Linked DNA regions of Xenopus tropicalis. The protein of the gene in region 1 purifies or fractionates together with the protein of each later gene. This does not show direct contact. Links are inferred from orthologs where the notes say so. Each region holds a gene or a part of one and is shown on either strand. Other genes may lie near its edges.

Region 1 (3,748 bases):
AAAAACAAAAAAAAAACACAGAAAATATATTCAAACATTTTGCTTTCATGTTGTCAGGGATAAGGAACCTTATGAAATAATAAAAGACATACTGCATTCATAGCATCTGTAGCAGATGTAAGCCTTTCTCCCATAAGTACACAGAGTATGAAAATGAAACAAAGTGCAAGCCCTCCCCACCAATAATAATGCGCTGTCCCTACCTTGATTTTCTTGCCTTCATCATTCAGCTTGTACTCTGTGATAGTTTTGATTTTACCATTGATGACCTCTTGAGGAGTGTCCAGAACAACTGGGGGGGGGTAAAATCATAATCATAACAGACAGCCTGCTCAAACATACACACAACAAGGCCTAAATTCAGCCAGCTATTACTGTGGGGTAAAGCTGTCCAGCTTATTGCATGTAGTGGGCTAATTATTTCTCATATACAATGTTTGGATTATTACATTAAAATTATTTCATACAGTGAATTCCATAGAGCTTTAAAGCAGACTGGGGGCCATAAAGCATATCTGGAGGGCCACATTCAGTCGGTGGGCCTCCAGTTGCTGTGGGGTAACTGTAGTGAGTGGAATTCTAATTTAAAATATACAGTTCAGCTCCACTACCCAAAACAGGACTTTATAGGAGCACTAAATGAGAAAGTTTGAGAATGTTCGGCTATCTGCTTTGTCTACACTGCTGAAAAGTCAACAGAGGAAGAAATAAGTGGGATCTAAAGCTAAAAAAATTAACATTTATTGACATAATTACACTGTTTACATTAACCTTCTATTTTAGTGCTAATAAGAGGCTCTTGGCTCAGCAGCAATCAGAGCAGTCAGACTGTACCTAAGTGACTATGCACAACCTGGACAGGCTGGTCACTGACTTTCAAGAGAGCTGCTAGGCTAAAAACGCGGTATTAGCAGTCTAATGTGGTCTTGTGACACGCAAGGCAGTTCCATGCCCTTTCTGCCCCTGTAGCCGGATACCCTTGTGTAGGTCTGCAAATAAATACTCACAGCTGGCTGGATCTTGTTGGACCTTGGTGACTGGTGGACTTATGGGTTCTGGGTCTATTCCTTCCTCCTCCACCTGGTCAGCCCAGCTGGGCTTGGAGCTGAAAGGATAAACAGAGATCTCAGACTAGATACCCACATCTGCCAGCCTGGCATTCAGCCTCGTACCCGCTCCCTCCCTGGTGGGGAGGGCTCATCCCATCCCAAATTAGTATTGTTTCACTCATCACCTATAAGTTCCTAACCCCTCTCAGCCAGAAGCTAGCCTGTAATATCCATTGAACTCCCAGCATACACTGCAAGCCAGAGGGTTGCAGGTTGGACTAGAGCTGGGCGGTATGACCAAAAATTTATATCACGGTATTTTTCAAAATTATATCGGTGTCACGGTATTTGACGGTATTTTTTTTTCCATGCATGATTAGGTGTTAACCCCATTTCCTAATAAATTAGAGAATAATTACTGCAGTATTGAAAATCAGAGTCAGGCAAGTGAAGGATCGGCAACAGAAAGTCGTAAGGTAAATCAGGCAGGCTTAGTTTCCCAGGCAAGGCCGCAGACAACATAGCACAGGAGGAGGCGTTTGATAACTTTAAATACCCCCCACGCATGCGCAGAACCGGCGCCATCAGCGCGTCATAGACGCGCACGCTTTGACATGTACGTGCGCTTTGACGCATGCGCACCTGGGCGCGCGTGCGCAACGTCCCATGGACAACGGGACACGCGCGAGACCGGGCCGCACGGGTGAGTACCCTGACACCCCGGTATTGCGGTATCTGAAAAATGAATATAGTTTTATAAAAAAAAAAAACGGTATTCGGTATTAAACGGTATATCGCCCAGCCCTAGGTTGGACCTCCCTACCCTACACACTATGGCTCTCCCAGCCTTACATACACTTGGATACCCAGATGTTGGTGAACTACAACTCACATGGCTGGGACTTGTAGTCAGGACTGGATCCAATCGTGCAATTCAATGATACAGAGGCTCCCACAGGCCCAATAAAACAGTGACAGCGCCCCCTCTGGCATTTGCCAGAGCGCACAGATGGCCAGACCGGGCCCGCTTGTAGTCCACCAACATCTGGAAATCCTAAAGTAGGACACAGGGTCCCAAAGGCTGAACGTCTCCCCTAAATCTCCATTTGGCCACAGACTCTCACTCCAACCGTGACTACAGTGTGTGTTCCCTGCCCTCCTACTCCCCGCTTGGCTCCCATGCTATTTCCCCGCACATACTCATAGTCTTCGGTCGGCATGTCTGTGGTGCGCTGGGCCGCGGCTGCTAGCGCTTCCGGAAGCTGAAGAGAGAGATGGCTCCACACTGCGCGCTAGTAACAAGCTCAGGCCGCCGGATAGAGAGGTACTTCCGGTGCCGCTCTAGTCTGCGGTCGGCATGTCTGTGCTGCACTGGGCCGCGGCTGCTAGCGCTTCCGGAAGCTGAAGAGAGAGATGGCTCCACACTGCGCGCTAGTAACAAGCTCAGGCCGCCGGATAGAGAGGTACTTCCGGTGCCGCTCTAGTCTGCGGTCGGCATGTCTGTGCTGCACTGGGCCGCGGCTGCTAGCGCTTCCGGAAGCTGAAGAGAGAGATGGCTCCACACTGCGCGCTAGTAACAAGCTCAAGCTGGCGGATAGAGAGGCGCTTCCGGTGCCGCTCTATAGTGCTGTCCTTCAATTTCCACTATCTAATCCGAGAATTCGGAGGCGGAAGTCGATTTGCTGTAGCGCTTGTATTTAGTGCCAGTACTTTTCCCTCACTTTGTACTAGTTACTGGCACTTGGCGGTTACCGTGCCCTGTGGCTAATAGATTATTGCCGATTATAGGGCGGCGCACAGCGGATATTTGCTTGGGCCCCTTATTATTTCAGTGGCCTCATGATAAATAATGTGAATGGAGGCTGTTGGTTGCGTGTAGTCTATCACTAGCAGGGTCTGTTGGTTGGTCGTCCAATGCTTTCCCTCAGCTGGGCCCATAAGCTGCAGTGTTGCCATGAGGCCGGAGTTCTAGCTCTCATTATGCTTGAGCTTTGGTTACAGTTGTGAGGAACTCAGCCCCCAGCACATTGAAATCCATTGTACTAACCTGGTAACAACCCTAATGCCCCTCCTGTCTCTAAACTCCTCTCACTCACATCCTCCTTTGGGTTATCTCTGTGCTCTGACTCCCCCTCTCACTCCAATGGGAACTCCCTGGATCTAATATTTACAAAATTCTGTTCAATCCCCTTTCCCCCTCTCATCATAATCTGCTCACATTTCAACTCCCTCTGTACCTTCTGCAGTCCCCCAAACATGCACATACCGACACCTGCAGTCCCCCAAACATGCACATACCGACACCTGCAGTCCCCCAAACGTGCACATACCGACACCTGCAGTCCCCCAAACGTGCACATACCGACACCTGCAGTCCCTCAAACGTGCACATACCGACACCTGCAGTCCCCCAAACGTGCACATACCGACACCTGCAGTCCCCCAAACGTGCACATACCGACACCTGCAGTCCCCCAAACGTGCACATACCGACACCTGCAGTCCCCCAAACGTGCACATACCGACACCTGCAGTCCCCCAAACGTGCACATACCGACACCTGCAGTCCCCCAAACGTGCACATACCGACACCTGCAGTCCCCCAAACGTGCTCATACCGACACCTGCAGTCCCCCAAACATGCACATACCGACACCTGCAGTCCCCCAAACGTGCTCATACCGACACCTGCAGTCCCC
Region 2 (3,748 bases), on another chromosome or scaffold:
CTATGGTTTGCTTCTTAGGATTGACATGCTGAAAAAAACATTAGATGTCAAATTAGACCTCAAACAAATAAAAGGTGTCCATACACCGAAGGTAGGCGTTATTGGCCCAATTCGAATTAAGCGGGTGGGCAACCCTATCCAAGAAGAGGCCCACTAAACCAGACACCTCCCCAGGTTACCATACACTGCACGTAAAAAAACTTAATTGTTCCAACATTCAAGGCTATTATTGTACTTTTAGGCTCACAACAGAACATATTCTAAAAAAAGTGTCCAAATCAGACAGAAGTCTGTCATTAGTATTGATAAAAACCACACATCACTGCTAAAAACCCATGTGCCTACACCCTTACAAATCATACCTTTATCCTGTTATAATGCAGTAGGTAACATGCATGTCAAATTACTAATGTTCAAGCACAGACTGGCAGTGCTGTATTTTAACTCCAGATACAAAAAATATTAAATTGAATATCACCACATTCAAGTAAAAACCGTGTTGAAAGATTTGCACATTCACAATGTTGACCTCTTTAGGGTCAATAGCTCAATATGTTCCATGCCTCATGAAATATCAGGCTTCCACAAATATTAAAAGGCATCTGCAGTACTAGATAGAAATTGAAATGATAAATATATGTGGAATACATGAATTCTTACCAGATCAGTTTCAGGATTCTCACATTCAGGACACAGAACAAACTTTTTAATAAATCCATCCAACATATCTTGCAGCTTATTTGCCTCATGAGAGCCATTGACAATGTAACGGTCATTCTTAACATCAAACTGGGTCTGTGCTCCCAGCTCACAACCAAAATATTTGGTGGGATCTTGGAAAAAAAAAAAAATAAATACACAAAATGAATACATAGACTGGAAGTGGTCCTCCAAGACAAGACATTATTGGCCCAAGCAAACACAAACAGGGTCATGGCTGCCCAAAACTTGTGTGTAATATAAGCATCAAATCAGATATCTACAACTCACTAACATGTTTCAGCAGTCAAAAAATACAAACCTGTCACACAGACTACAGCTCTGTAGAGTAAACATTAGCATTAAATGTAAAAACAAGGACAGAGCATTTCAGTGGATTTAAAATATAGAAGTCGATTACACATAACTGTATACAAGAAGGTAAAGCACTACTGCAAATTCAACTTACAGGTTGGAGGCCGATTAAGCGCCTTTGCAACATCAACCATGTTGACTATTACTGTCTTTATTCCATTTCCTTTGCCCTCTACCTGTAAGAAATAAGGAAACCAATGAGCATGGCAAGTAGAATAACTTATTTTAAGACTTTGTTGCAAAATACAAATAGATACATTACCTTAGCAATCAAACGGGGCATTTTGTACCGATAGAACTGATCGGAAACACTTCGGTTGACATTGACAGACATTTTGGTTTATTATTAGCCCTTTCAATAACGAGAAATGGTCTTTGATTGCAACTTTTTGGTATCTTCTGTCTGGAGAAGACTGGATGACATAAACGACTGCAAGAGTTCTCGGTCTCTGACATGAAAATAATTTCGCCACCGAGGCTGCAAGCGTCCTGCTTGTATGCTATGTTCCCCCAATACAGGTACCAATGGCTGCGCAACAGCTCTGCAGAGGAGGTACAAAAATATAACACATCAGAAAAACAAATTAAAAAAAACACAACTTAAAAAGGCCTTATAGACATTATGTACTGCACTACTATGGTAGTATACCCCTTTTTTAACATGACTTCAATGAAAAGGTCTTGCACTGCAGCAAAGTTTTTGTAAATTTCTTTAGCAAAACAGGTAAAATTAAGCTACTCAATGTTGGGTCCTTGCAAGGCAGAGTACCAATGCACTAATTATTTCCCTGCACAACAGACTCCTGCTAAGAAAAGTCACAGTAGTGGGTGAAGGAAGGGGACCTGCTCAGAAATAAACCAGATTTTTCATGATTATAACAATAGGCAGAAATTTTGTTCATAAGCCTTATTTACTGAACCAGAGGATATACTGCCTCTTTAATTTGGTAAAGAAAAAAAACTAACTTTTTTTGAATAATGAAAGAAACAATGCCAAGCAATTTTCCCCAGTCTAAAATAATTCAAAAAGCTGTTGAGAAAAAGTTCCAGTTTGTTGGTCTGATAATCAAATGATGCTATATTGTTCCAGGAGTCAGAACCAGAATTGCAGAACACCCAGAAAGATACTGCTTTCACTATTTTGAAAGACACTATATATATATATATATATATATATATATATATATATATATATATATATATATATATATATATATATATATATATATATATATATATATATATATATATATATATATATATATATATATATATATTATTTATATTATCTCTATCCTAATGTAAAACCTTATAGAATTAAAATGAAAAACTTTCTGAGATTACAAAAAAAAAGGAAATAAGTCTTTCCTTAACTACAACTTAGCTTTATAAGAGTTTCAATGTGTTAAAGCAGTGGCCCAGTCTCGAGGAGTTAAAACAATGTTTACATATGAGCAGATGGGACTAATTGTAATAGGTGAGCCATAAGCCCTTGGGAGGCGTCAGAAACCAGGTAACTCACCAAGGACTATAGGGGTTAAAGAAAACAGACATGAGTAAAAAGGCAGCTCTGGGGGAGCGGAGGGCCAGCTGCTCCGGATGACTCACAACTGCAGCACTGAGTCAGTCCTGGAATCGCGGCCACGCATGCGCACACTTCCCAAATTCTCCCACCCCTTATCTTTTATACCCACAACCCACCTTGACGATATCACCCCTCTTCCGCCACTAAAAGCATGTTCTCAACCCACCCACTTATAAGCCCCACTTCAGTTTGCCCGGGAGGCCCCGTATCCGCCGGCTGCAAAATGCGTCACGTCTGAAGTCACGAGGCACGGCAGCCATTTTACATCAACATCCCGCTGCGGCCTACATTAGGGCGAACGTAGCACTCCCCCTCCCCATTAGCCTTCCGGTCGGTGCGGACAAATTCCTCGACAAAGACCTTGAAGTCGCCCAACACAGAGTCCAGAACAGTGGTATTGTCGCATGTTGCAATTCCCAGCCCCATAGCTTGCTGTACAGCCGTGTTTTAACCGAGGGACTAGCAACCTTCAGCCCTCAATGTAAGGCTAATAGCCTCCTGCTGTTTTTTTCGTTTTCATTCGTCGACTAATGGAGCCCCACACTGCTTATGTAGCGACCGTGCTCCACCTGTAACATATGCAACGCAGCCCGAGGGTACTTACCGTTTTCGTCCAATAAAGACATAAACACAACGCTGCTCGCCCTGGGTGCGATGAACGGGAAGGCAGGATAAAACGTCTTTACGATGTACACACACAGTGCGCTGGTTGGGGCGGCGGTGGTGGAGACGGCACAGCACGACGCTGGCCAACACACCAGCAGAAAGCTCCAAATTATAAGCAACAAAACAGGAGACACCCTCCGGCCGGGGGATCTAGAAAAAACAACACATGATGATCAGCAAGTGAGAGCTAGCGCGAACTGCGCAACTACTTAGCACCGAATGGGTTAAAGACGTTGTTAATTAATAATTAAGTCTTTAACTAATCAAATGAAAGCAGCTGTTTCGATGCAGGGTATAAACTTAGGGCCACACTGACTCATCACTCACCTCAGAAAGCTTCTAGCTGTCTCTAGCACGAAAAGCGCAGAGAGTTGATCTTTACCCCCTCCCCGCGCAGAGAGTGTCTGTGGGTGTGGCGCTGAT

What was found. Proteins that work in one complex are often made in the same cells at the same time.
Region 2: the proteins of eif3g (region 1) and eif5 purify together in Homo sapiens (affinity purification with western blotting; 3 studies listed by BioGRID and IntAct, with this or other methods). This does not show direct contact. The link is inferred for Xenopus tropicalis from reciprocal best matches to the Homo sapiens genes EIF3G and EIF5.

The regions. Positions count from the first base shown.
Region 1 is NC_030679.2:137,098,722-137,102,469, forward strand, and holds the start of eif3g (eukaryotic translation initiation factor 3 subunit G), read right to left. Parts: upstream 2,302-3,748; 5' UTR 2,270-2,301; coding exon 2,250-2,269; intron 1,106-2,249; coding exon 1,008-1,105; intron 293-1,007; coding exon 204-292; intron 1-203. UniProt on the Homo sapiens protein: RNA-binding component of the eukaryotic translation initiation factor 3 (eIF-3) complex, which is required for several steps in the initiation of protein synthesis.
Region 2 is NC_030684.2:98,282,781-98,286,528, reverse strand, and holds the start of eif5 (eukaryotic translation initiation factor 5), read right to left. Parts: upstream 2,720-3,748; 5' UTR 2,597-2,719; intron 1,617-2,596; 5' UTR 1,409-1,616; coding exon 1,337-1,408; intron 1,251-1,336; coding exon 1,169-1,250; intron 834-1,168; coding exon 661-833; intron 29-660; coding exon 1-28.